Linked DNA regions of Caenorhabditis elegans. The protein of the gene in region 1 purifies or fractionates together with the protein of each later gene. This does not show direct contact. Each region holds a gene or a part of one and is shown in the gene's direction. Other genes may lie near its edges.

Evidence for each region.
Region 2: the proteins of nol-10 (region 1) and aatf-1 fractionate together in Caenorhabditis elegans (co-fractionation; one large-scale study listed by BioGRID). This does not show direct contact.
Region 3: the proteins of nol-10 (region 1) and Y75B8A.7 fractionate together in Caenorhabditis elegans (co-fractionation; one large-scale study listed by BioGRID). This does not show direct contact.
Region 4: the proteins of nol-10 (region 1) and ddx-27 fractionate together in Caenorhabditis elegans (co-fractionation; one large-scale study listed by BioGRID). This does not show direct contact.

Annotation. Positions count from the first base shown.
Region 1 is NC_003282.8:7,577,928-7,584,508, forward strand, and holds nol-10 (NUC153 domain-containing protein), read left to right. Parts: upstream 1-2,669; 5' UTR 2,670-2,676; coding exon 2,677-2,742; intron 2,743-2,790; coding exon 2,791-2,935; intron 2,936-3,088; coding exon 3,089-3,204; intron 3,205-3,253; coding exon 3,254-3,390; intron 3,391-3,435; coding exon 3,436-3,642; intron 3,643-3,689; coding exon 3,690-4,886; intron 4,887-5,143; coding exon 5,144-5,261; intron 5,262-5,305; coding exon 5,306-5,584; 3' UTR 5,585-5,797; downstream 5,798-6,581. Other genes in the region: F32E10.5 (Tudor domain-containing protein), read right to left, coding at 15-179, 230-436; cec-5 (Chromo domain-containing protein), read right to left, coding at 822-1,478, 1,560-1,687, 1,732-1,804, 1,849-2,062, 2,125-2,177.
Region 2 is NC_003279.8:1,599,386-1,607,925, forward strand, and holds aatf-1 (Protein BFR2), read left to right. Parts: upstream 1-2,452; 5' UTR 2,453-2,454; coding exon 2,455-2,533; intron 2,534-2,579; coding exon 2,580-2,933; intron 2,934-5,095; coding exon 5,096-5,658; intron 5,659-6,991; coding exon 6,992-7,387; 3' UTR 7,388-7,461; downstream 7,462-8,540. Other genes in the region: Y73E7A.6 (Bladder cancer-associated protein), read right to left, coding at 8,533-8,540.
Region 3 is NC_003281.10:12,150,614-12,159,197, forward strand, and holds the start of Y75B8A.7 (U3 small nucleolar ribonucleoprotein MPP10), read left to right. Parts: upstream 1-2,285; 5' UTR 2,286-2,301; coding exon 2,302-2,372; intron 2,373-2,441; coding exon 2,442-2,622; intron 2,623-3,489; coding exon 3,490-3,924; intron 3,925-5,076; coding exon 5,077-5,234; intron 5,235-6,442; coding exon 6,443-6,792; intron 6,793-8,232; coding exon 8,233-8,584.
Region 4 is NC_003279.8:1,765,517-1,771,476, forward strand, and holds the start of ddx-27 (RNA helicase), read left to right. Parts: upstream 1-2,370; 5' UTR 2,371-2,425; coding exon 2,426-2,983; intron 2,984-4,348; coding exon 4,349-4,553; intron 4,554-5,850; exon of another isoform or gene 5,851-5,960. Other genes in the region: lin-65 (uncharacterized protein), read left to right, coding at 490-513.

The DNA of each region.
Region 1 (6,581 bases):
TAAAAAATTCTCACGTGATTTTCTGGCATATATAGATCCGCATCTTGATGTCTAAAAACCTGTTGCAATTTCTCGGTAAGATTTTCCTTGATTCTGTCGAATCTTTTCGGCTGAAGACCAATGTCAGTTGGCATGCTATGCTCCACAATTCTATAGTATTCGCATGGATACAAGTCAATCTGGAAATCAATTAACCTGTTATTGATTCAAATTATCTAATTAACAGTACCGGAATATTTTCAACATTTCCATATTCACTGTTCAATTGTTCTGCTATGTTTAAAACGTATCCTGGAATTGTCACTCCTTCAGAATATTTCCACAAAAATTGTGGATATTTCTCAATATATTGGCGAATTTGATAATCATGTCCTGAAGGAACTTCAATCAACTCTCGACACTCATTTTCTTGAGCATCTTTCTGCAGCTGTGCCATTCTGTCCTCCCAATTCATCTGAAATTAATCAAATGTGATAAAAGCAGGGGTTTTAATTAAAATCTGTAACTTTATACAACGGATAAATGGATGTACTGCTACTGCACAACCTCAATCAAACGATCAAAGTTTACGTTAAAGAGATCTTCTTCATTGGTGAATATTATATGTTAACAACAGATAATTGAAGACAGCATGATTAAAATAAAACATTAGAATCGGAATACATTGAGATTTTGAGAAACTCAAATGCATTTGTAAAGACAGTGTGGGGGATTAAATGAGCAGAACGAAAAGAATTAAGAGATTTTGAGTGAAAATGTGGAACGTTACAGAATGGGGAAAAATAAAATAAAATATTTAAAACGGTCGTTGAAATATTTGCCTAATGTCTAGACTTTCTCTTTCCGTTGGACGATGCTTCTTCTTCTTCTTCTTCACCCTCGCTGCCACTTCCACTAGTATTGTCTTGATCTTCTTCTTCATTTCCTGAATCTTCAGCAACACGTTTGCTTGATTTGGCCTTTTCCTGTTTCTTGCTCGATTTAGGTGCTTCTTTCTCATCTTCCTCATCCTCGTCTTCCTCGTCGGAGGTTTCAGCGCGTTTCGACTTCTTTGGACTCTTCGAAGACTTCGACTTTTTTGGAGTCTTAACAACCTCTTCTTCTACTTCGTCTTCTTCCTCAGGAGTCTCAGCACGCTTCGATTTCTTCGTCTTCTTCGGAGTCTTAACAACCTCTTCTTCTTCGTCGTCTTCTTCCTCAGGAGTCTCAGCACGCTTCGATTTCTTCGACTTCTTTGTAGCAACAGGCTCCTCTTCTTCATCATCATCAGAAGCAGCTCTCTTTGTGGATTTCGAGGATTTCTTTGGAGATTTCTCTTTGACTTCCTCTTCTTCCTCTTCGTCGGAAGAGTCATCATCCTTCGATTTAGCGGACTTTTTCGGCGATTTCTTGCTTCCCTTCTTCTTGTTAGACTTCTTGACCGGTGGTGGTTTCATGTCATGAGAATCTTTGTAGGCTTCAAGAAGATCTTTGCAGTTCTGAAATAGTAAGGTTACGCAAAATTTTAGTTATAATAATGTTGCAGAGTATTCTAAACTTCATCAACTAGTTGAACTCACCGACAACTCATTCTCCCACATCTCCGAGTGAGACACCGGGTTTGGGTATCCACGCCACATGACCAAAAACAGTGGCTTGTTCTTCTTTCCGCTGAAGCGGTGAGCAATGATTTTCTCGACAGCAAAATCTGAAAATTGAACGTGGGAATTTTATACAATCAAAATGAGCTACCCTCATCTGGATCATCATCTTGGTTGGTGATCTTATACTTGTAATCGGCCAATAGTTTCTGCTCCTTTTTGCCCTGAAAGTGTAAATGTATAAGCGCCCGTGGAAATCTTTAAAAACCTCAAAATCGAACTCAGTGGCCATCATTTTCCTGCCATTTGAAAGGAGGACATTATATTCAACGTAGTGCGTGTTGAATAGTTTGTGATCAAGAATCTTCTTGACTGAAGCGTCCTGAGAAGAGCTCTTCGAGTCTCCAGATTTAGACGATTTGCTACGCTTTGCCCGGTGTTTCGTGGCATCGTGCACAACCTGGAAGTGAGTGGTTTGCTTTCTGAAAAATAAATATTGTAGATCATTTATTAGAACGAAAAATTCGAATAAAAAAAAACGAACCCTGATCTTCCAGAAGCACGAGATGGTGCACTACCGGATGATTTCTTTGCCATTTCGAAACCTGGAATATTTTATATCAATGATCAGTCAATTACGAGAAGAAAGCGAAAAATAACAATACTTTTGAAGCATAGAAAAATAAACACCTATTTATGATAGACATATAAATTAAGAAACTAGTTTATAAACTAGAGATAGCATGTAAATTAAGGAAATATGAAATTTGTGTTGGAGAACGTTCAAATTCAAATCGGCGCGCACGCGACGCAGAACAGCAGCGTCGCGGCCACTCAATGACTATACATAAATGGGAGACACAGGCATTCGTTGCACCGCCAACCACCATTCATGCGCCAGTACAATTCGAATAGCTTGCATGGAGTGAAAGAGAGTATACGTATGAAGGAGACGAAATAATAACTACAACAATCCGTTATTTCGCAGTCGCGCGTTCTTTAATTTAATTATTTTCTCAATTATTTTTTTCCATTTTCAGTTGAAATTATAAATATTGACTATTTATCACTCAGAAATTGTTTTTTCAGAACAGAAATGGAAGTTTCAACGGTCAACGATGTTAAAATTTATAACTTGAGCGCTGGAAAAAGCCTACCAGAGGTATAACCATATAGAAATAGCAGATATTAAAACAATTTTATTTTTCAGTGGATGTCATCCCGCACTAGAAGAAAATTGGAACAAAGAAACACCGATGTTCGTCAGAGGATTCAGCTCATTCAAGATTTCGAAATGCCCGATGTCAGTAACACAGTGAACATCACTCCAGATGGCAAATATGTGTGGGCTTCAGGTATAATTTAAACGAACCAGTAAACTATTTAAAACGCGAGGAATTATAATAATAAGCTCTGTAAATGAATTTAAAAAATTGAAAATGAGAAAAAATATATTTGTATTCAAAATCAGTTAGAAAGCTTCTGTAAATATTTGCCGTGTTTTAAAGGAAACTACAAACCTTGGCTGAGATGCTACGATTTGAACAATCTATCATTAAAATTCGAAAGAGGACTCGATGCAGATGTCATTAAACTTATCCCACTGAGCGACGACTACTCGAAGGTATGTATTGGTTGCTATGGAAATGATATTCAGCTTGCACATGTTGCAGGTAGTAATATTAGAAGAAGAACGATGGATTGAAATGCATGCGATGCTTGGAAGATATTTCCGAATGCGAATGCCATGCCAAGGACGAGACATGGCACTTTCAGAAGAATCAAGTGATTTGTATCTCGTTGGATCGAAGTAGTTTCAATATTTAAAATGTTCTAAGCTAAAAGCAAATTTCAGAAGCGAAGTTTACCGTTTCAATCTCGAGCAAGGATGTTGGCTGACTCCATTCGAATCGACTGCTCCTCTGAACTGCGTTCAAGTTTGTACTGAACATCAATTAATTTGCTGTGGTACCACAAACGGTGTCGTTGAGGCATGGGATCACAGAGACAAATCTTTATGTGGTACCTTAGATGCAGGTTCTTCTGTTAATAGCCATATCGGGTAAGAATTGATCTTCTATAATGAGTATCAAAACATCTTTTTTTCAGTGAAAATCAAAAAGTGGCCGTCACGTCTGTTGCATTTTCTGATCCTTTACACATTGGAGTGGGTACAAGTACAGGCCAAATCCTTATTTACGATTTGCGTGCTCGTCGACCTCTTCTTATCAAGGACCACAATAACGAATTACCAATCAATAAACTAGATTTTATCAAAAGAGACGATGGGGATGTCGTTGCTTCTATGGATTCTAGAATGATGAAGCTATGGCATGAAGAAGATGGTTCACCTATGGCTGCTATCGAGAATACATGCCCATTAAACGACTTCTGCCGGTTCCCAAATTCAGGAATGTTCTTCTTCGCAAACGAAGCTCCAAAAATGCTCCAGTACTTTATTCCACAACTTGGCCCTGCTCCAAAATGGTGTTCTTATTTGGAAAATCTTACAGAAGAGATGGAGGAAACAGAAACTACAGTCTACGATAACTATCGTTTCGTTACCAAGAAACAACTTGATGATCTTGGGCTTTCGGGACTAATCGGAACAAATGTTCTTCGAGCATACATGCATGGATATTTCATTGATGCTCGTCTATACAACAAAGCTCAAACACAAATGCAACCATTTGCTTATGAAAAGTACAAGGATGAGAAGATCAAGTCAATGATTGCTGATGAACGTGAAGAGTCTGCAGTTAAAAAGAAGGTGGAAAAGTTGCCAGCAGTGAATAAGGCTCTCGCAGCTAGACTCCGTGATGAAGCATCAGCTGCTAATCAGAAGGCGGAAACCAAGAAAGAGAAAAAGAAGAGCAAGAAATCAGATGCCGCAACTTCTCTTCTTGCTGATGATCGTTTCAAGAAATTGTTCGAGTCTGAAGATTTCGAAGTTGATGAAACAAGTGAGCAATTCCTGAAGAATGCATCAATTGCACAAAAAATGAAAGCAAAAGGACCTGTTGAAGTGGAATCGGAAGGTGAAGAATCTGAAGACAATGATGCATCCGACTCTGAAAATGAAGCAAGTGGTAGTGATAGTGAACCGAAAGGATCTGCATCATGGATGGTTGAGGAAAATCGTGAAGTAGATATGGCTTCGGATTTGGAAAGTGCTTCAAGTGATGAAGATATAGACCAATCGTTGAAAGCAAAACGAGCCAAAGTTCGCGCCGCTAAAAAATCTGAACGAAACATTCAAAAATCGCAGAAATACGACGAACGGAAAGAGGCGAAGAAGATTAGGAAGTTAGTTTTTTCAACATTTTTCCAAATTAAAGATGAAAATGTTCCATTTGGGTTTGAATACGAAAAATATGATCATTCGACATAGTTTTCTTCTCTCAGAAATTAACAAAAACATTTTTAACATTCAAAAATAACCTTTTAAAATTACATAAAAATATTTTTAACACCTACTAACCTCAGTTACACTGAAATTGAATGTGCCATTCGTCTAAAAATTTTCCAAAAAATATAAATAAATATTCTTTCTTGATTTTCAGAGAACAGCGACAGTTATCGAAACCTTCCAAATTCGTACTTCATTCAATTGGAACCGGCGAGACGACTAGAAAGTTTGTTGACGAAACTGTCGCGGTCAGAGATGATGCTGACAACAAGGTGTTTTTTATTTATTAAAATTATGACTATTCATTTATTTTTAGGACTCGATGGCTCTCGGTGCCCGTAAAAGAGCAACTGCGAGAAGTGATAGAAAGACTAAGAAGGTCAACGATGATGATGTACCCTTCGGAGGTCGCGAGATGACATTCACGATTTCGAAACGTGATAAGGATCTTCGTGCAGAAGCTGCAAAGACGAAACAAGCAGCTCATGCAGCTGAACGAAAAGAAGTGAGCCGACGCCCGAATGCTCTGGTCACAAAAGGACTGAAAAAACTTCCTGGAAACGTAAACGTTGGAAAACGCCAGAATACATTCTAAAACTAGAACCCTTTAGATTTAAATTGTTGATTTTATTTTTCAAATCTTGTTTTTTATCAACCAGTTCTCTTTTTCCATATTTTTTTATTATTCTCATATTTACTCTTGTTGTTAGTTTCTTTTTGTTGTTGTTGTTATCTATCCCATCCAGCTTTTGTTTGCCATTTTTGTTCGAAGCTTTTTTTTTCTGAATAAAAAAGAACAGCGACTAAAATTTAAGACATGACTCGAAACATGATATCGTATTCGCGACAGGATCCGTTTTCTCGCAAAATGATGATGTGACAGATATGGACGATTGGTGCAGATTTTGACTTCTGGTGTCTTTTCATGGATGGGAAATTCTGTATTCTCATTGAACGTACTCGAAGACTGGAAAAATCGAAAATAAAACGAAGTGGGCAATCAATCAAAAACGAGGGAGCAGTTCCGAAGAAAATGAATGCTTTTTCCGAGTGAAATTGGCAGAAGAAATGTTGAAAGCTTTTTTGTCAAAATACGTAGTATTCTATATTAAACATATTATATGTTTATATTAACTGTTTATTGTACTTTTGTAGCTTTATTAAAGATGTATAGATCGATTCAATTGGGTCTCGCCGCGAAAAATGTAAAGGATTTTCTCACAGCGACTTTTGAAAAATTTGAAAAATCATCTAAGTAGGCGTTTCAGGAAATATGATATTACAATGTGGGTACATACATTACAGCCACTGTACCGTAATCTACCGTACCCCAAACATTTTCTATTCGGTTGCCGTGAGTTCCCGAGCATGTGATTGAAAAATTAGGTGTACACAATCACAAGCAACAAGACATTATTCAGTTTTAAGTTGAGAAATTCATATTACATAGACGTCAAAAATGAGTCTTTTTGACAAATCGTACGTACAAAGGTCTCACCACGCGAATAACGAATTACTGTAACTCGTGCCAATTAACGGGCGTTATTTGACACGAGTTACAGTAACTTGTTGTCCGCTTTCTTTTTTCGTTT
Region 2 (8,540 bases), on another chromosome or scaffold:
CTGAAAAAGCTCGAATCTTTATGTAAAAATTCAGAAAATTTGATTCTAATTGTAACATATAAGTTCAAAAACTTCAATCTCGTAGAAATATTGTGAAAAACTGTAGCAAAATAGGCAATTTTTTTTGTTGAAATCCTGAAATTAACGAGACGGGCCTGCAATAAAAAAGAGTAAACGCAAGACTATTAGGGAGTGCAATACTAATTTTCAGAAGATCTCCGAGGGACAATACTAATAGGGAGTGCAAGTCTAATAGGGAGGCCATATTAATAGAAGATATACGGTAATCATGGGGCTCTGGCCTTTCTCGTTACATTTTCGCGCTCCATCGACAATCGCCCGCCGGACAACGCGTGGGAAAGCCGTGTACTCCGCACGGACAACTACATTCAGTTTTACAACTTAAATCGAGCCGCGACGCGACACGCAACGCGCCGTAAATCTACTGAGCCAAAATGGCCTAGTTCTGCAAAAACTCTTCCATTTCAATTTATGAGAGAAGCCAGAAATCCGAATCGCGACTAATGTATTACAAAACTAGAAAATACAAAATAAACTCGGGCCGCCAAACATAATTTTCAAAAGAAAGAAATTTTCAATTTCCCGGCAAAACGTTATTTCTGAGAAAATTTGAACTTATGTTTGATCAATGTTTCCTTGTTTCAAAATTTCAGAAACTTTATTTTTTTTAAAAAGTTATATGTTATTGTTTTTTAGGCGCAGAATTCCCTGACTGAATTTACATGGTGAAAGCGTGATGACGTCACAGTTTTCTGTATTAAAAATTCCCGCATTTTTTGAAGATCAAACACTAATGGGGCATCCTGACACCACATGTTAAAATACCCAGAATAGTCTCACAAGTTGATCACAATGTACTAGCAGTTTGATCAGCTACATCTCGACTGTGAAAGAAAATAGGAAAATAGTTTTTGCTGGTAACGTGTTCCTCATTTTTAGCTTTACAAGTTTTCTGTTGATCGTTTTTTTTTCATATTCCATTTATCCTGCCATTTGCTATAAAATAATGAACGAGGACAAAGATTTTTTTACATATTTCAAGAGTCTATACATTTTCAACGGGAAAAATTTTTGATTCCTATTCCTCAGAAAGTTTTTACCAGGATTTTATTAGCTCAAATAAATTTGAATTGAATTTTATTTTAGTAACTGAAAAAGTAAAGTTAACCAGCACAGCAATAATACACCAAAAGTAATTTCATAGAAAATTAATAATTTTAATTATTTGTAATTGGAACTGAAACGGAATTTGAGAAGTGGAACAATGTTCGAGGATCCGTCGGAAATCTATCATGCCATACGAGAAAATACATGGCAAAGTTTTCAATGAGAATAGTTGCTAATAGACCATCACTTCTTTCGATATCACGTCCATATGAGCAATCCACGAATTCAAGATCATCGCTGAAATAAATTTAATAAAAGCTAAATTCATTTCGACTCATTGCCACTTATATAGGTAGCTCACATCGCTAATAATCTCAGGATTCTAACAGGATCTAACAAAAAGTTAATATTTGGAAAAGGGTGTAATAAAACTCACCAGAATATTCTTGCTCGACGTTTCGGATTCCATTTGGAATATGGTAAGCCATACAATAAGTCGCCCGCCCAATGATGCCACCAATAGTTCAATTGAAGTCTTCTCAGGTTTGGTAGGTTCCCGTCTAACCAATAACGAATGTACTTATTGATTTCTCTTGCCTTGATTGTATTGAGATCATAAAATCTCATCTTCTCGCAATTCATCATTTTCAAATCGTCCAGTGTTAATCCTGGGCTTTTTTCGAAATCCAAACGTGGAATATTGACCAACTTAAATTTTAGTATTCTAGTTCTTAACAATTATCTTTTCAACTTACCAGTTTTATATCAATCTTGGTTCTGCGTAGAGAGCGAGTCAGGAATCCATATTTCAAATTAAAATTCTTCAATATAAATTTCATATCCTCTGTGGTAATGTACGATCCTTCTCCTAGAAACTTGAGGAAATGGCATTTCCGGAACAAAGGGTGGCTCAAAGCGGACTGATATGATAATCTGAAAATGTCTCCAATTATCTGAAATTTTATGAAAATATGCTGAAACATCTGAACTTTTGTCTTAAATTGTCTTAAATTGTACAATCATTTCACAAATTCCAAGCTGGAAAATCTAATTTTCTTGTTTTTTTTTTCGCACAGAAAATCCAATTTTATTTTATTTTGCACTAAACAACACGCACTACGACACTCCGTTATCCCGCTTGAAAATTATTTAATTTATTTTATTTTATTTTATTTTATTCGAAAAAAACTCAATTTCCACTCATTTTCCGAGATTTTTTCCGTGTTTTAATGCTAAAAATGCACTTTTTGACATTAAAACCGTCTAACACAGCTTTATTGTGCCCTAAAAGTCGGGAAAATCCATAAAATCAAGTTTTTTTCAGAAATGGGTTTGTTAGATGACATTTCGAAGCTAACAACGCCCGCAACAGAGCTGCCAGACTTGGAGGATGATAATTTTGAAGGTTATCTAGTTTTTCAGGCGAAAAATTAACAAAAAAAATGTTTCAGACTCGCAGTCCGCGCTAAAATCCCTAAAATCCACCGGAAACCGCCAAAAAGCCGCTCAAAATTTCAATTTCGAGGAGGGAAAGTACGCGGGAAGTGCTGTTTCAAGAAAAGAGCTTTTCGGTGATATTTCTGAAATTTCCGGCTTACAAGGGAACTTTGACAAGTCGGAGAGCGAGGAAGACGAGGACGAGGAGGAAAAAATCGATAATTTCGATGAATCTGAGCCAGAAATTGAAGATGAGGAGGAAAATGAGGATTTAGAAGACGAGGAAGATGAAAATCCTGAAGAAATTGATACAAATATGGGAATGACTACTCTTTCGCTGAAAGATGAGGAGGATAAAGCCGATAAAGGTTAATAAAGCCTCTGAAATGGGAAAAATTTGCGAAAAAAGCATTTTTTGGCGAATTTCCCGGTTTTTTCTGTATTTTTAACATTAAAATTGCGAAAATTGACCGATTTTCCGAGGAAAATTGATTTTTTTTTTCAGAAAAAATAGGCTTAAAATCTCAGATTTCACCCGCAAAATCACAAAAAACTCAAATTTCCACACAAAAAGTCGTGAAATTCCAGATTTACTCAAAAAATCGCCAAAACTTTGAGTTTTAATTCAAAAAAACCTAGAAAGGAGCAAATTCCGTTAAAAAAAATCGGGAAAATTGCCAATTTTCCACAGAAAAATCAAACTAATCTCCTAATTTTTGAAAAATCCCAAAAAACTTTAAATTTTCTTCAAGAAATCGCTGAAAAAGTCATATTTTTCTCTGAAGCATTGCGAAAATCTTGAAATTAATAAAAAAAATAATTGAAAATTCCCAAAAATCTTCAAATTTTCCATTAAAAACCAACCAAAAAAAATCTAATTTTCCCGAAAATCACCAGATGTTCATTTAAAAACATTGCAATTTAAAAAAAATCGCCAAAAAAATAATTTTTTACGGAAAAATTCCACAAATCGTCCAATTTTCCATAAAATAACCACACAAAAAAAAAATCTAAAGTCCCAAAATTTCAGATTTCAGTCGAAAAATCTGAAAAATTCAGCATTTTCAAATGCGAAACCCAGGAAAATTTCAAAAATCTTGATATTTTATATTTTATATTAAAAAGCGGTTTTTTTTTCCGAAAAAGTCGGTTTTAAATATAAAATATTAAGATTTTTGAAGTTTTCCTATGTTTCGCATTTGAAAATGCTGAATTTTTCAGATTTTTCGACTTAAATCTGAAATTTTGGGACTTTAGATTTTTTTTTGTGTGGTTATTTTATGGAAAATTGGACGATTTGTGGAATTTTTCCGTTAAAATTATTTTTTTGGCGATTCTTCTAAAATTGCAATGTTTTTAAATGAACATCTGGTGATTTTCGGGAAAATTAGATTTTTTTTTGGTGGTTTTTAATGGAAAATTTGAACATTTTTGGGAATTTCCGATTATTTTTTATTAATTTCAAGATTTTCGCAATGTTTCAGAAAAAATGTGACTTTTTAGCGATTTCTTGAAGAAAATTTCCAGTTTTTTGAGAAATTTTTCGGGATTTTTCAAAAAAAATTGTTTGTACAATTTTAGGACTTTTCGTGTGAAAATTTGAGTTTTTTGTAATTTTTCGGGTAATATTTGAGATTTTAAGACGTTTTAGTGAAGATAATTTCAGATTTTTCTGAAAAAATCCGATATTTTGATTGAAAATTGGGAAAAAGTATAGTTTTTAAAATTAAAATTGCGAAAATTGACCGATTTTCCGAGGAAAAATGACTTTTTTCAGTCAAAATATCGGATTTTTTCAGAAAAATCTGCAATTATCTTCACAAAAACGTCTTTAAATCTCAGATATCACCCGCAAAATCACGAAAAGCTTCAAGTTTTGCTCTAAAAAATCACAAAAAACTCAAATTTCCACACAAAAAGTCGTAAAATTCCAGATTTACTCAGAAAATCTCCAAATTTTTGAGTTTTTATTTTAAAAAAACCATATTTTATGAAATTTTTATATTTTATTTGGAAAAAAAACGAAAAAATCTAAAAGTTTGGAGCAAAAATTCCGTTAAAAAATCGGAAAATTGGCAATTCTTTAAAAAAAAATCACATTAAATCATTTAAAAAGTTACAAAATTTTTTATTTTTATTTTTTTAATGCACAAAAAATTGAAAAAAAAAACCTTCAAGAATCTTAGAAATGTGGAAAAATTGAAAAAAAAATCCCAGAAAACTTGAAATTTTCTTACGGAAATTGAGAAAATTTTAAAATAAAAAAAAATTATCGGAAATTCTCAATTATCTTCAAATTTTCCATTACAAATCAAACATGCTAAAATAAATCGCCGAAAAAAAAATTAATTTCAACGGAAAAATTCCATAAATCTTCAAATTTTCTATTAAAAATCAAAAAAAAAAAAAAAAGAAAACCCATGCTAAAAAATTTTAAAAATCTTAATATTTTATACTTAAAAACTGCTTTTTTTTTCGGAAAACTGCAGCTTTTCCCTAAAAATTCCCAAAAAAAATTCCATTTTTTCAGCCGCCAGTGTCCGAAATCAGCGTCTCGTATGGGATGATCTACTCTATTCGAATATCCGGCTCCACGCGTTGCTCAACACAGCCAATCAGCTGCCACGTGGAGAAGCTCGAAAAAATCTGCTCAAAACCAGCGAAGAGCACACACAAAAATCGATGGAATCGGCCATGGAAAATATGGGAAAATTACGGAATTTAATGAAAAACGCGATGGAATTGATTGGTGAAGGGAAGGGAAAAGCCGCCGGAGAAGATGAAGAAGATGATGATGATGTAGAGGAAATTCCAAGTGATGAGGAGATTCTCAGTGATTTTGAAGACGATGAAGAAGAGCCGGCGGAAGAGCTCGAAATTCCGGGAAAATCACGGAAAATTGGTGGAGGATCTACCAGTGTGAAAAGCCTCGCAAAAAATCTGCAAAAAATCGATGAAAAAATGGAGAAATTCCGAGCAACAACACTCACGAAATGGTACAATCGAACTAAGATTCTCAACACGCCGAAATCTATGAATAATACGGATTTTTCGGTTTTTGAAAAGGGCAGCATTCTTGGACAGATTAATAAGGTAGAAAATTGTGGCGGAAAAGCGTTGGATTTCTGCTTAAAAATCGGTTTTTTTAACCATAATATCTAGTTTTTTGGCTGAAAAATCGAAATTTTTGCATTTGGGACAACAAAAAAAAACGGCTGGATTCCGAAAATCGAATTTCGAATATTTTTTTTGGCAGATTTTCCCCCAAAAAATCTAATTTTTTGGCTAATTTTTCAATTTTGGCTGATTTTTGGCTGAAAAAATCGATTTTTTTTCTCGCAAATTTCACGGAAAAATCGCACAAAAAACCTTTTGCTGGTTTTTCCTCAAAAATTCGAATTTCCAAGCAAATTCTATTGTAAACCCCGGTTTTTTCTTAATTTTTCATTGAAAATCGTAAATTAAAAATTTTTTAAATTGAAATTCCAAAATTTCCCGCAAAAATCGCACAATTCTGAAAATTCTGAAAATTTATTTGAAAAATTCGTGTATTTTTTGCCAATTTTCTACGAAAAAACAACCATAAAATTTCCGGTTTTTCACAACAAAAACCCTACTTTTTTCCAGAAATTAAAAAATTTTCAAACATTTCCATATCGTGCGCCTTTAAAATAACGGAAATCGCGGCGAGACCCATTCCATGCACCTTTAAAGTAGCACCACCCAGCGTTGGATTTCTGCTTTAAAATCGGTTTTTTACCATAATATCTAGTTTTTTGGCTGAAAAATCGATTTTTTCGCAAATTTCACGAAAAAAATCGCACAAAAATGTTTTTTTTGCTCATTTTTTCCTCAAAAATCCGAATTTCCAGGCAATTTCCATTAAAAACCCCGTTTTTTGCCGCAAAATTCTTAATTTTTCACTAAAAATCGTAAGCTTAAAATTTTTTAAATTGAAATTCCAAAATTTCCCGCAAAAATCGCTCCGGCAATTTGCTGATTTGCCGGAAATTTTCAATTCCGGCATTTTGCCGATTTGCCGGAAATTTTTAATTCCGCCAATTTGCCGATTTGCCGGAAATTTTCAATTCCGGCATTTTGCCGATTTGCCGGAAATTTTTAATTCCGCCAATTTGCCGATGTGCCGAAAATTTTCAATTCCGGCAAATTGCCGATTTGCCGAAAATTTTCAATTCCGCCAATTTGCCGATTTGCCGCTTTGCCTTTCTGAAAAAAACGTGTTTTAGTTGTGAAAAATTGGAAATTTTATAAATTTTTCCGTGGAAATCTCTGAAAATCATTGCGAGACCCATTACATGCGCCTTTAAAGTAGCGAAAATCGCGGCGAGACCAATAATTTACGAATTTAAACCTAAAATCGCGGTGAGACCCATTTTTTCATCTTAAAAAAATTGAAATTTTGCAGGTTCTCGCCGACGAGGAGAAGCTGCTCAAAAAAGTGCGCACAAATCGAAGCGGAAAACCGCGAATCGGCGGCAAATCCGACTCTCCGGAATCCCTGGACCCCGAGACGTTCGACGATTCGGATTTCTATCAAATTCTGCTCAAACAAATGCTCGAAGCACGAAACCAGATGAGCAACAACTCTCAAGACGGAGCAGACATGACGAGAAGCTATATGGAGTTACAGACAATGTTCAGTAACAAGAAAAAACGAGATGTCTCGCAACTTTCGTCAAAAGATCGCCGCTTGAAGTACGAGCCAATCGCCCGGCTCATCAATTTCTATCCATCGAAGCCGTCGGTCGTCACTTGGAGCCATGAGAGCCGGAATGAGCTCTTTAAGTCGTTGTTTTCCTGATTTTTTTGGAGCATTTTTTTTTTAATTTTTAAATTTTTGGTTTTTTTTTGTTACTTGTTATAAGATTTTTTTGATTTGTTTAATAGAATATCACAGATTTGGAGCAAAATTTCGAAAATTTTGGTTTTTTTAATATTGAAAATATCGAATTTTTAGTTTTTTTTTTGAAAAATTGAAAAATTTTAATTTTTTGAAAATCGAAAAATTAAAATTCTTGATTTTTTGATATTTTCAAAAAAAAAACGATGAAAAATCGGAAATTTTCAATTTTTTAACAAAAAAGAAATTTGACAACTTTTTGAAAATTGGAAAATTTCAATTTTCCGATTTTCAAAAAGTGCTCAATTTTTTTCGATTAAAAAAATTGAAAATTTCCGAAATTTTTTTTTTGAAATCTACAAAAAATTATAATTTTTTGAAAATCGGAAAATAAAATTTCTCGACAATTTTTACTTTTTCGCTTTAGAAAAAAAAAAAGAAATTTCAATAGTTTTTAAAATTTTTTTGAAAACACGAAAAATTACGGAAATGTTTGATATTTGAAAAAATTTCAAATTTTCAATCTTTTGGAAATATCGAAAATTTTCGATTTTTTAAAAATATAATTAATTTAAAAGTTAAATTTTTTTTGAAAACGAAAATTTAGGATAAGTTCCGAAAAATCTATAATTTTTAGTTTTCAGTTGTTTTTTTTTTAAATTTTGAAAAAATCTAAATTTTAATTAAATTTTTTTTTGTAAATATCTGAAATTTTCGATTTTTTTTATCGAAAAAAAATTAAAAACTTTTTGAAAATTGGAAAATTTAAATTTTCCGATTTTTTTAAATACTGAAACATCGAAAAATTACGGAAATTTTTGATATTTGAAAAAATTTTAAAAATAAAATCGAAATTTTTTTGTTTTTAGCAAAAAGAAATTTCAATATTTTTTGAAATTTTTCTTCATATTTTTCTAAAAAAAAATAATATCACATTTAGTTTTTTGGGGAGATTTGGTACAAAATTTGTGTAGAAACTGGGATTTTTTGGGGTGAAAAATGGATAAAAATAGAGGAAAAACTAGAGAGAGAGGGAACGCCCGTAACAAATCGGAAGATATTCAGAGAAATGGAGAGAAAAAAAAATATGTGTAGATTTAGGATATTTAGAGAC
Region 3 (8,584 bases), on another chromosome or scaffold:
TACTACGTGCTACTATGCTAGTATGCAGCGGCATGAATTTTGCAAAATTAAGAATCCTTGCGGTATGCTCATGGTGTTCTGGCCTTGGTACAACAGCTAGATGAGTGCAAACGCGCTCTACCGAACGAACCCAAATTTGACCGGTTAGGAAATTTTCAATCAAAAAATTTCTTAATAGAAAAGATCGAGAATTTTTTTGCGATCATTTTTCATATGCATCGCAAAATCAAATTTGGGGTTAGTTTTCGAGATAGCAGCCAATATAGTTTTCAGACTGAGTATCATGAACCAATCCATCTAGTTTCTGTGCTACCGTGCCGTCCTCATTGAATTTTTTTCGCGCTCCATTGACAATCGCTCTCCGGACATGGGAAAGTCGTGTACTCCACACGGACAAGTGCATTTAGTTTTACAATCGAGCCGCGACGCGACACGCAACGCGCCGTAAATCTACCCCCAGATATGGCCTGGCCTAGTTCGGCAAAAACTCTTCCATTTCAATTTCTGAGGGAAGCCAGACACATCCGTGAATTTTTGACCATATCCACGTTTTTCTTGTCAAATAACAATAGCATATTCAACAGGACAATTGACAATTGAATTGAGATATGAGAAACAAGAAAAAGTAATTTGACTCCTGACTTCTTCTTCTTCTTTTTCATAGAGTGGATGGTGGATAGTGACATACAAACAGGGCACACAGTTTCGTGTTGACACTCTCTCTCTCTCTGGACAGAACAATATAAGACACGAACATGAAAAGGAAGATGAACAATGTTCCTGCAAAAAAAAGTTGAAGCTTGGAAGAGTTGGAGAAATTTTCACCAAATCAGCAATTGCCGGAAATGAAAATTTCGGGCAAATCGGCAAATTGCCAGGATTGAAAATTTCCATCAAATCGGCAATTGCTGAAAATGAAAAATTTGGGCAAGTTGACAAATCGGCAAATTGCCGGAATTGAAAATTTCCGGAAAATTGGCAAATCGGCAAATTGCCGCAATTGAAAATTTCCGCTAAATTGGCAAATTGCCGGAATTGAAAATTTTCCGGCATATCGGTGAATCGCCAAATTGCCGGAATTGAAAATTTCCGGAAAATTGGCAAATCGGCAAATCGCCGGAATTGAAAATTTCCGCCAAATTGGCAAACTGCCGGAATTGAAAATTTTCCGGCATATCGGCGAATCGCCAAATTGCCGGAATTGAAAATTTCCGGTAAATTGGCGGAGTTGAAAATTTCCAGCCAATTGGCAATTTCCGAAAATTAAAATTTCCGGCAAATCGGCACATTGCCAGAATTGAAAATTTCCGGCAAATTGGCAATTGCCGAAAATTAAAATTTCGGGCAAATCGCAAATTGCCCGGAATTAAAAATTGCATTTTGCCGATTTGCCGAAAAAACGACAATTGCAGAAAATTGTGGTTTTGACATTTTTGGAAATTTCAGAATTTCAACATTATTTGTTTTAAGTGGATCCGTCTTTTTAAAAGTCTCTTTAAAAACTTTCGCAAACGGCAAATCGGCAATTTGTCGAAAATGGAAATTTTCGGCAATTTTGCTCGTTTATTACATGTTTAATCCTAAATTTCGGTATATTTTCAGTCGCTGGGAACACAAATTTCATAAAATTTCGCTTTATTTTGTGTTAAAAACTAAATTTTCTCAGAAAAATTCACATTTTAAAGGAAATTCTTCAATTTGAACTTCCCGCTATTTTTATACTGTCTGTTTTATCAACAGGGCGCGTTTGCACTTTTCAACTTCTGGCTTTTTTCGCCTTTTTTAATCCATTTTTTCACATTTATTGATCGAAAATCTTGCGGATAAAGGCTATTTTTTCAAGATTAAATTAATAAAAATTTGAAATTACTTAAATTGAATCCTAAAATCTGTGAAAATCCCAAAATAATACTCTCAAATCGGAGCCAAGCCGTCAATACATAGAAAAAATCCAAAAAACCTTAAAACTGCTGATTTTTCCACTTTTTTCTACAATTTTCCGACACTTTTATAGGTTTTCCATGCCCTAAGTACAAATATGAACGGGATTATTCGTTTTTCTCCCCTCTCTGGCACTCTTGTCGTCTCTCGCCCTCTCACTTACCCCCGCTGTCTCGTTTTCCCATTTCTCGGTGAAATTTTGAACCAATTTTTTGGTTTTTACACTTATTTTGACGATTTTTCCAGTATTTTCGTGTAAAAATTGAGATTTCTCGTGTTTTTAACGTTATTTTATGTGGTTTTAAGTTGTAAAACTTTTTTTTGGGAATTTATCGATTTTTAAGGTAATTCGCTGCAAAAATGACGAAATCAAAGTCAAAAAAGGAGGATTTGATCCCGGAAATCGGGGATTTCACAAAGTTTTTCAAAAGGTTGGCATAATTAATCGAAAAAAATATAGAAAAAAAATTTAAAAAATCAATAAAATGTTGATTTTTCAGTCGATCAAAATTTTCCGACCAAATAACCGATGTTATTTCGAATGTCTACGAATGGTCGACATCACTGGAACCTTCAGAAGACAATCTTCCACTTCCATTTGTTTCGAAAAACGAAGAAGTCGTTTGGAGTTATCTGAAGCATCAGAATAAGCAATTAGATGGAATTAATAAGAAATATAAGGTGCTTATTCGCGGGATTTTGCTCGAAAAATCCTAAAATAATCTTAAATTCCGAAAAAACACAGAAGAAAATCGAAAAAATCGATTTTTAAAGTTCTATTTTTCAATTTTGGCGAAATTCCCTCCAATTCCCTCCAAAATGAAGAACGACCAATCAGCGATTAGCACCGCCCACTTTTGAACCAATAAGAGGAAAGGGGCGGAGTTCGAAGGTGCTGATTGTTCAGTACAAAAAACGGAGGAAAAACGAAAAAAAATCGATTTTTTTTTCGAATTTTGGTTAAATTCCGTTTCCGACCAATCAACGATTCGCTCCGTCCATTTTTGAACCAATCAGATGAAGTGGGCGGAGCTCAAAGACGCTGATTGGTCGTGCAGTCCTTATTTTAAAGGGAATTCAACAAAATTTTAAAAAATCGATTTTTAAAACGTGATTTTTCAATTTTGGTTAAATTCCGTCTTCGACCAATCAGCGATTCGCTCCGCCCACTTTTGAACCAATCAAATGAAGTGGGCGGAGTTTGAAGGCGCTGATTGGTCGGGCAATTCTTATTTTGGAGGGAATTCAAACAAGTTTGAAAAAAATTGCGTTTTTAAATTTCAAACTAAATTTTCGGGATTTTTGAAAAAAATTTCTAAAAATCCCGAAAAAAATGTCCTAAAAAATTTCTAAAAATTCCACAATTTTCAAAAAATCTAGAAATTTTTAGCAATTTCCGAAAAATTTCTAAATTTCCAAAAATATTGAACTTTTTTTGAAAATTTTTGAAAAAAATCGAGTTTTTTTTTCTGAATTTCAGGCTATTTTTTGGAGTTTTTTTTCACTTTTTTTTTCCTCAAAATTGCTTGAAAATGCTCCGAATTTCAGGGATTTCTTTCCGAGTTGATTGGAAAATCGCATATTCGGGTGGCGGCGAAAATTCAGGATTCTGAAGGTTCGGAAGATGGTTCTGATGGCTCCGATGGCGGCTCCGAAGAGGAGCTCGATGATGATGAGGAAGAGCTGGAAGATGAAGAGCTCGAGGATGAAATGATTGACGATGAGGATGAAGCCGATCTTTTTAATTTAAGCGAGAGTGATCTGAAGACGTTGGACGCTGATTTGAAGAAAATGGAAGAAGAAGAAGCCGGAGAAGAGAAAGAGGAGGTGGAAAAAGCCACAGAACAACCGAAAAAATTCAAGAAATCCATTGTGGACGATCAGTTTTTCAATCTTGACGAGATGCACGATTTTTTGCAAAAAACTGAGAGAGCTGGAGGCAAAAAGGCCGCTCAGGATGAGGAAATGATGTTTGAGGATGAAGTATGTACCTGGATGGCTGAAAATCTGCAAAATTTGGATTTTTATGAGCCGAAAAGTGCCAAAAAGTGCCCAAAAACAATTTTAAAAATACACACTTTTTTCCACAAAAAGTGCGCGAAGAAATTGCAAACTCCGCCCCCCTTTTTCCCGGCCAGAATTCGTAATTTCGAAATTAGAGTGCAATCGCGCTCCAACGCCAACACAACACAAGTATTGCCGGAATTGTTAAATTTTCGGCAAATTGGTAAATTGCCGGAATCGATAATTTCCGGCAAATCGGCAAATTGCCGGAATCGATAATTTCCGGCAAATCGGCATAATTGGAAATTTCCAGCAAATTGGCAATTGCCGAAAATGAAAATTTTGGCCAAATCGGCAAATTGCCAGAATTGGAAAGTTCCGGCAAATTGTCAAGTTGCCGGAATTGTTAAATATCCGGCAAACCGGTAAATTGCCGGAATTGAAATTTCCAGCAAATCGACAAATTGCCGGAATTTTAAAATTTCCGGCAAATTGGCAACTTGCCGGAATTGAAAATTTCCAGCAAATCGGCATATTGCCTGATTTGTGAAATTTCCGCCAATTTGCCGAAAATGAAAATTTTGGGCAAATCGGCAAATTGCCAGAATTGAAAAGTTCCGGCAAATTGTCAAATTGCCGGAATTGTTAAATATCCGGCAAACCGGTAAATTGCCGGAATTGAAATTTCCAGCAAATCGGCAAATTGCCGGAATTGCAAAATGTCCGGTAAATCGTAAATTGCCAGAATTGAAAAGTTCCGGCATATCGACAAATCGCCGGAATTGTTAAATATCCGGCAAACCGGTAAATTGGCGGAATTGTGAAATTTCCGCCAATTTGCCGAAAATGAAAATTTTGGGCAAATCGGCAAATTGCCAGAATTGAAAAGTTCCGGCAAATCGGCAAATTGTGGTTTTGCACAATTTTTTGTTGTTGGAAACTTCATATTTTCTTGTTCCAAACGAGACCCAATAGGCCAATTAGCGATGGAGCGCGATTGCACCTCAGTTTTCAAAAACCGCCTCGCTGCCATAATATATTAATCTCGATGAAAATTCCCTAAGAAAATGTGTGTGTGTGTGTGTTTTTTTCAAAATTTCAATTAAAAAAAAAAAAAAATAATAATTTCAGGATAGCTGGGACGGAAAAACCGACTACACGTATGAGGACTTTTTTGGATCTCGTGAGACAGTTGCTGAAACCGAAAAAATGAATGGAGAGAAGAAAAAAATTGAAAAAGATAAGAAACGGAAGGCTGGAGATAAAGCTGATTTATCACTTGATGATGGGTTTGTAGTTTGTAGTTTGGAGGAATTGGAGAAAAAAACGGAAAACCACAGAAAAAAACGAGAAAATCCCCCAACCAATCAGCGTCTTCAACTCCGCCCACTCCACCTGATTGGTTGGAAAGTGGGCGGAGCGAATCGCTGATTGGTCGCGGTCTCATTTTGAAAAAAATTCGGCCAAAATATTGAAAATCTGCGTTTTTTAGTTTTCAAAAAATGTAGAAATTCAGCAATTTCCGAAAATATTTAGAAATTTCTAAATTTTTGGAAATTTGAAATTTTTTTTTCACTTTTTTTTCGCCAAAATTGATGGATTTTTCATTATTTTGCGATTTTTTTTTTCGTTTTTCTCCAAAAATACTGTAAAAATGTAGAAAATCACTAAATTTATCCGAAAAATCACGTTTATTTCAGCTGAAAAAATCAAAAAATATTTTTCGAATTTTCTAGCTGAAATAAATGTAATTTTCCGGATAAATTTAGTGATTTTCTACAATTTGACACTATTTTTCAATGAAAATCGTTGGAAGCACATGGTGCAACATGACAAAATTGTAAAATTGCCGAAAATAAGTGAAAAAAATTTAAAAATCCCAATTTTCAATCTTTTTTCTAGGAACGCCGAAAAAATTGCGAAAAAAGTTGCAAAACGCGATGTTTTGAATTCCCTCCAAATGAGAACTCATCGACCAATCAGCGACTCGCTCCGCCCATCTCTGGACCAATCAGACGAAGTGGGCGGAGTTCGACGACACTGATTGGCCGGGGAGTTTTCATTTTGGGGGAATCCAAACAAAAGTGAAAAAATCGATTTTTAAAAACGTGATTTTTCCAATTTTGATCAAATTCCGTCTGCGACCAATCAGCGATTTGTTCCGCCCTTTTTTGCACCAATCAGGGTGTGTGGGAGGAGTTTGAAGGAGCTGATTGGTCGAAATGCTAATTTTGCGAATTTTTCGCAAAACTCGGAAAAATCCAACTTTCTGAAACTACGACCAATCAGCGATTTGCTCCGCCCACTTTTGCACCAATCAGGGTGTGTGGGCGGAGTTTGAAGGCGCTGATTGGTCGGGGAGTTTTCATTTTGGGGGGAATTTGAAATTTTAAAATCCAAATTTAAAAAATCGCCTTTTTTGTGATTTTTCCGAATTTAGGACTATTTTTTAATAAATTTTTAAAGCGAAAAATTCAATTCAAAAATGTTCTTCCAGAAAGAACAAAAAACGCGTTCGTTTCGCAATGGATGAGGAACCTGAAGAAGAAGAAGTTGAAGACGAGGAGCAAGAAGACATTAATGATGAAGAAGAGCCCCCAGAGGATGAGCCAGTGCTCCTCGGAGCCGACCTCGAAGAGCCGAAGGAAGAATCGGCGTTTGCCAAGCGTCAGTCCAAGATGAAGGAACGAATCGCTAAGCTTGAGGAGGAGAATTTGGCTCCAAAATCGTGGGAGCTCTCCGGAGAGGTTGCCGCCGATCAGAGAGATCAGAATACCCTGCTGGAGAAGCATGTGGATTTTGATCATGGAGCAAAACGTGCTCCAGAGGTTACCGAAGAGTTTACAGGTACGCTGATGATGGCTGGAAATTGGAAATTTTAGAAGAAAAACTATGGGAAAAGCGAAAAAAATCGGGAAAATCTCACTTTTTGAAACTGCGACCAATCAGCGATTAGCTCAGCCCATTTTTGGACCAATCAGATGGAGTGGGCGGAGTTTGAAGGTGATGATTGGTCGGGGAGTTGTCATTTTGCGATTTTTTATCAAAAAAAATCGGGAAAATCCAACTTTTGAAACTGCGACCAATCAGCGATTAGCTCCGCCCATTTTTGGACCAATCAGATGGAGTGGGCGGAGTTTGAAGGTGCTGATTGGTCGGGGAGTTGTCATTTTGCGATTTTTTATCAAAAAAATCGAAAAAATCCAACTTTTGAAACTGCGACCAATCAGCGATTTGCTCCGCCCATTTTTGGCCCAATCAGATGGAGTGGGCGGAGTTTGAAGGTGCTGATTGGTCGGGGAGTTCGAAAATTGAAAAATCACGATTTTTTTCTTTTCAAAGTTTTGAATAAAACAATTTTTTCGGCAGGAAATTAGTTTTTTGAAAAGTTGCAAAAATTTTATAAACAAATTTATTAAAATTGTATTAAAATTAACACAGAAAAAGAGGCGGAGCCTAATTTCGCAACCTTGCCGCACGGTTTTTCCTCTTTCTTTTTGTTGGTTTTTTTCCAATGAAGTTTCGATTTTACTTGTTTTATTTTCTTTCGAAAAACGAAAATAAAACAATTAAATTCAAAAATTGATTTAAAAAATGAAAACCGTGCCACAGGGTTGCGAAATTAGGCTCCGCCTATTTTCTGTGCGACAATGCTGCTTTTTGTAAAATTTACGAATGGAAATCGCCAAATTTCAACCATAAAATAGGCAAAGAGAGCCTCCGTAACACGGAAAAATTGGCGAAATTTGAGATTTGAAACCGTCGCACAGAAAAAGAGGCGGAGCCTAATTTCGCAACCTTGCCGCACGGTTTTTCCTCCTTTTTTGACCGGTGTTAATTTTAATATCCTCATAATAGCATTTTCATTCGAAAAAGAAAATAACATAATTAAATTCAAAAATTGATTTAAAAAAATTAAAACCGTGCCGCAGGGTTGCAAAATTAGGGGCTTCGCCTATTTTTCTGTGCGATGCTGATTCACGACGGATTGCTCGTAAAATTTCAACCATAAAATATGCAAAAAATAGTATTTTTTTCGCAAATTTCGAGGCTTTAGCTTAAAAATGCCGTTTTTTTTTTCAAATTTTAAGACGAAAACTGCCTCTTTTTCTGTGCGATGCGCAAAATTTTATTTTTTTCTAAATTTCAAATATAAAATAGGCAAAAAATAGCTGATATGACATGGAAAAATTGGAAATTTTCGAGATTTTAGCTTAAAAATTCCGTTTTTTTTTTTTTTTTTTTAATTTCAGCCATAAAATAGGCAAAAATAGAGTTTTTTTCCAGACCGCCTCGAGTCACTTATCAAGCAACGAATTCGTGATAAAGCCTGGGATGATGTGATTCGAGTGAAAAAAGTCGAAGCGAAAGGCGCCAAATTCGAAACTGAAGCCATCGAGAATCAAATGAATCAGAAAACTTCCTTGGCTGAGGTTTATGAGAAGGAATATCAAAATTCGACTGGAAATTCTGCAGATGGAGCAGCAGGAGCCACGAAGCCGAATGAAGCTCATGAAGCTATAAAATCGAAGATGGGAGATCTCTTCCGGCTAATTGATGCGCTAACTCATTTCGAGTATAAACCGGATCAAGCTCGCGAGGAGGTGAAAGTGGTCTCAAATATGGCTGCTCTACGTGT
Region 4 (5,960 bases), on another chromosome or scaffold:
TTTTGAGGTTTTCTGTGAAATTTCAAGCTGAAATTTCCATTTTTGAATAAAAAAAATGTGGCTGGATTTAAAAAAAAACCATTAAAATTGATTTTTTAACTGAAAAATCCGTATTTCTCTGAAATTTCAGGCAAAAAATGTCATTTCCGAAATTAAAAATTGCGACAAAATCAAATAAAATTGATCAAATTTGCAAAAAAAAAAAAACTTTCGCAAAAAATCCTTAAAATTTACATTTTTCAACAAAAACTCGAATTTTCAGTCAAAAATTCGTCTGAAAATGCTCCAAAATATGGGATTTTTTGAAATTTTAGCTAAAAATTGAGAATTGCACGGTATTTAGAGAGGGAAAAATTCCATAAAAATCGATATTTTCCTCTTTAAAATCTCGAAAAAAATCATCAATTTTCATTCAAAAATCCCCCCCGGAAAATTGTCAAAATTTTGAGATTTTTCTGAAATTTCACGCAAAAATTTTCATTTTTTCAGCCCACCTTCATCACTCTCGAATGATCGATCTCTTCACGTCAAATGCACTTTTTTCTGGATTTTTTTGTTAAAAAATTTGAAATTCTCGTGTTTTTTCTTCTGAAAAATTGCTTTTTTTGATTTTTTCTGTAATTTTTTTTTTGTTGATTTTCTTAATTTTTTTAATTTTCAAAAAATCTTTTTCATCTCTTTCTCTCTCTCTCTGAATCTCAATTTTTTCCTGAATTTCCCCGTTTTTTTCTGATAATTTTCAATATTTCTCTGAATTTTTCTATTCCCCCCGTTGTAATGCCAAAATATGTGGTAATTTCTCCCCATTTTTTCGCTTTATTACTATTTATTCTATTCAATTGGTGCCTCTCTCAATGTGTTGTATGAAAAACACTGTTTTATGGAGGTTTTGGAGAATTTTGAATTTTTTCGTCGTGATTTTTATTGGTTTTCTTTACCAATTCAATTTTTTTTTTAATTCGAAAATTTGTAGAAATTCACTTTTGTAGCTTAAAAAATTAAAAATTGAGAAAATTTGTTCAAAAATGGCAAAGTTTTCGAAATTTTAGTCTAAAAAAAGATTTTTTTAATATAGAATTTTAAAAAATTAGCACAGAAAAATGCCGAAAAATTCGTAATTTTTCATTTAAAAATGAAAAAAAAAAAAAACAAAAAAAAAAAAAAAAAAGAGGGAAAAATCCCATTAAAAGTAGTTTTTTGACTGCAAAATCGTCTGGAAATTAACAAAATTTAAAAAAATCTTTTTTACAGCCCATCGTTTCCAAAAACCAAATAAAATGCCAAAAAAAAATTTTTATGCAAAAATTCTGGATTTTTTTCCGATTTTTTCAAAAAATTCCCCCTTCTAAAAAAAATGGTGAATTTGTTCCCAAAAACCCAAAATTTGAGATTTTCTAAAATTTTGGCAAAAATTAAGAATTTCACGGTTTTGAGAGGGAAAAACTCCATTAAAATTGATGATTTTATGACTAAAAATTCCTAAAAAATCAATTTTCAGTCAAAAATTAAATTTTTTGAAATTCTAGCTAAACATTAAGAAATTCACGGTTTTGCGAGGAAAATCTATTTAAATCGATATTTTTTGACTGAAAAATCCCTGAAAAATCAAAAATTTTTGGCTAAAAATTGAGAATATTTTTTGTTTTAAAAAAATCATTGAAATTGATTTTTTTGTTTTAAAATTTCCATAAAAATCGCGGAGAAGTCAATTTTCAGTCATAAATCTTCTGAAAATTATCCAAACAATGGGATTTTCTGAAATTTTAGCTTGAAAATTGAGAATTTCCCGGTTTTGTCATGGAAATTCCATTACAATCGATATTTTTTGACAGAAAAATTGCTCTGGAAATTAACAAAAACCAAATAAAATGTCAATTTTTTTTAAATCCAAAAATTGTTGGATTTTTTCAGAAAAAAATATTTTTTCAATTGACTGGTGTCCAAAAAATATAGAAAATTCAAATTTTCCAAGAAAAATAGCCAAAAAAATGTAATTTTTGTCTAACAAAAAAATTGAATAGCGCAAAATTAAATTGTCGTTTTTTTTAAATTTCCCGGTTTTGAAAGGAACAAATTCCATAAAAATCGAAATTTTTTGACTGAAAAATCCGTGAAAACTAGAATTTTGAGTCAAAAATCCTCTGAAAATGCTCCAAAATATGAGATTTTCTGAAATTTTAGCTAAAAATTGAGAAATTCACGGTTTTTTCAGAGAAATTCCATTACAATCGATATTTTTCAAGTGAAAAATCCTCTGGAAATCAACAAAAACCCAATAAAATGCCCTAATTTTTTTAATCCAAAAAAATCTGGATTTTTTCAAAAAAAATTCCCTCCCCCACTAAAAAAATCGTATTTCCCAATTTTCAGAGCCAAAAAAAAAATGGTGAATTTGTTCCCAAAAACCGTCGAATCCGACGAAGAAATGGAAATCGACGAGTCGGACGACGAGCAAGTCCAAGACGAGGCAGTAACCGTCAGAAAGAAGAAGAAAATGGCGAATGCCGCCGAAGAATTTGCTCAGGATTTCATTTTTGAGTCAGGCGACACCCAATTTATCGATCGAGAAACCGAGGATCTTCAGAAATATCTGAAAAAGCAGACGCCAACGTCACTGGACGAGAAAATCGCCGAAATGAGAAAGTTGAAGAATACGGGAAAAGCTGTAATTGTTGAGGATGAAGCTGAAGCTGCTGAAGCCGAGGAGAAAGATGAAGAAGAGGATGATGTTCAACAATTGGGTGGAAAAGAGACACGAGATACTGTACGAGAGAAGAGAAAAAGTGGAAAATCAAAGAAATCCCAGGAAAATGAGGATTTCTTTTCGGCGCTGATTGATGGAAAAAGTCTCGACACGAGTGTTAATGTATCATTTGAACAAATGAATTTGAGCCGACAGATTTTGAAGGCGTGCTCCGGCGCTGGATATTCGGATCCGACGCCTATTCAACAGGCGTGTATTCCGGTCGCACTTACTGGAAAGGTGAATTGCTGTTTTGCGGAGAATTTTTTTTTTTGGAAATTTTCTGACAAAAAGTAGAGGTGGAGTAGTGAAATGTCTGGGAAATATTTTTATTTGACTCCAAATTATTATTTTGAAAAAAATTTAGGCAAAAAAGGATTGAAAAATCTTAAAATTAATGTTTTGGTTTATTTTTTGCCAAAAATCAATTTTAGTTTTTTTTTTACCTTTGGGAAAAATTGAAAAATTCAACATTAATGAAAAACTGGAAAGATGCCCGAAAAATCGTTTTTTTTTCCAAAAAAAAAATTTAAAAAGAGAAAAAATTGAAGAACATTCAAATTTTCCAAAAAAAATATATATTCTTCCGAAAAAAAAATTTTCACAAAAAAAAATACCAAAAACGGATATGTATATTGAAGGAACCAGAAATTTTTCGTTCTCAAAAAAATTTGCTTCCTTTTCAAAAAAAAAAACACAAAAAGCCAATGATTAACATTTTTGTCAGGACTAAATTTTTAAAAAATTCTTCAGCAAAAAATCAACTTTCACTTAAGGTAATGTTTCTATCATTTTTGCGAAAAAAAAAACAATTCTCGTGAAAAAAATTATTTTTTCTGAAAAAATAACCAGATTGGGGTTTTTTTTATTAGACTGCTGTCCAAAAAAAAATTGAAATTTTCAAAAAAAAAACAACAGGCGTGTATTCCGGTGGCACTTACTGGAAAGGTACTGCAATCTTGCGGAAAATTTTTTTTTGGAATTTTTCTGACAAGAATTAAAGGTGGAGTACCGAAATTTGAACCTTTGCTTTTTCCGACCCGAAATGGTCCAAAACTACCGAATTTCATAATGAGACTTCACGAAAAATTTCCAAAAATTTTTTATGGCCGGTCATAATTTCGAAAAAAAAGAGCCAAATTTTGCTAAAATCTGAAATTTCGCAAACTTTTCTTTGTCATAGCCGCTGGTTTTTAGTTTTTCTGAAATTATCACCTTTTAATCTTTATTTTGGTAATTTATATCACGGAAATTCGATGATTGAGACAACTTTTAGGCTGATAGGCATCCAAAAATATAAATTACCAAAATAAGGATAAAAAGGTGATAATTTCAGAAAAGTTAAAATCCAGCAGCTGTGACAAAGAAAAGTGTGCGAAATTTCAGATTTTAGCAAAATTTGGCTCTTTTTTTTTGAAATTTTGACAAGCCATAAAAAATTTTTGGAAATTTTTTGTGAAGTTTCATTATGAAATTCGGTGTTTTCAGACAATTTTAAGTCTAATAAAGCAATTTAAAAAATTCGACTACACCTCCTTTAAAAAAAAAGGACATTTAGTGATTTTTTTTTTCTTCAAAAATTGATCTAAAACTGTTCAATTTCAGGACATTTGCGCCTGTGCAGCGACTGGAACCGGAAAAACCGCCGCCTTCGTTCTTCCAATTCTCGAACGTATGATTTATCGTCCGAAAGGTGCCAGTTGTACACGTGTACTCGTTTTGGTACCAACTCGTGAACTGGCAATTCAAGTATTCCAAGTTTTCCGAAAATTATCGACGTTCATTCAATTGGAAGTTTGTCTGTGTGCAGGTTAGTTGGAGAATGCGATGATTTTTTGGGAAATTTTGGGAAGAAAAAGCCAAAATTTACAGTGTAAAAAATTGGAATTTTTAAAAAATTTAATATTAAGTTTGAATTTTCGGAGCAAAAGCTGCGAATATTGTTAAAAATCTGAAAAAATCTAAAAAATATGATTTTTTGAATAAAATTTTTCAAAAAATTAAAAAATTGCTGAAAAAGCAATTTTTTTGTGAAAAAATCAGAAAAATACTAATTTTATTATAAAAATATTAATTTCACCGGAAATTTTCCAATTTTTGAGAAAATCTGAAAAATAAAAATTTTTGGATTTTTTGGAACATTTATGAAAAAATCAAAAAAAACCAATTTTTTTTCAAAAAATAAATAGGAGATATATCATCAAAAAATCAATTTTTTCAAAAAAAAACTGATATTTTTTGTCGGATTTATCTCGAAAAAATTAAATTTTCCGGAAATTTTGGCATTTTCTAGACAGAAAAATCCGAAAAAATTGGATAAAATTTATCAAAAAAATTGAAAAAATAGCTGAAAAAAGCAATTTTTTTCGTTAAAAAATCGGAAAAATAGAAAATTTATTTTAAAAATTAATTTTTTTCAACAAAAAACGGCCCTTTTTTGTAAAATCGGATTTATCTCGTAGAAATTTAAATTTTCCGGAAATTTTGGCATTTTTTGGAGAAAAATCTGTAAATATTGTTTAAAATCTGAAAAATAAAATTTTTTGGATAAAATTTACCAAAAAAAAAATCAATTTTCAAATTTTTCCAAAGAAAAACTGATATTCTTTGTGTAAAATCGGATTTATCTCGTAAAAATCTAAAATTTCCGGAAATTTTGGCGTTTTTAGACAAAAAAAATCTGAAAAATTGGATAAAATTTATCAAAAAAATTGAAAAAATAGCTGAAAAAAGCAATTTTTTTGTAAAAATCGGAAAAATACTAATTTTATAACAAACAATTGAATTTCACCGGAATTTTTTAATTTTTGAAAAAAAAGAAGAAAAACGGCTCTTTTTTTGTAAAATCGGATTTATCTCGAAAAAATTAAATTTTCCGGAAATTTTGGCATTTTTTAGACAGAAAAATCTGAAAAAATTGGATAAAATTTATCAAAAAAAATAGCTGAAAAAGCAATTTTTTTCGTTAAAAAAACAATTAAAGTTTATCGGAAATTAAAAAAAAAAAATTTTCAACTATTTTTCTCGAAAAAAACCAGTTTTCCGGAAAATTTGAATTTTTTTTTGAAGAAAAATCTGAAAAAAAATTAATTTTTCAACAAATAGTAAAAATCTACATCCTTTATTCAATTTTAAACGATTTTTAAATTGAAAAAGTACAACAAAAAATTTAAAAAAAAAACAAGGCAATTTGAGTGTTGGAGGGGGGGCCCGTTGG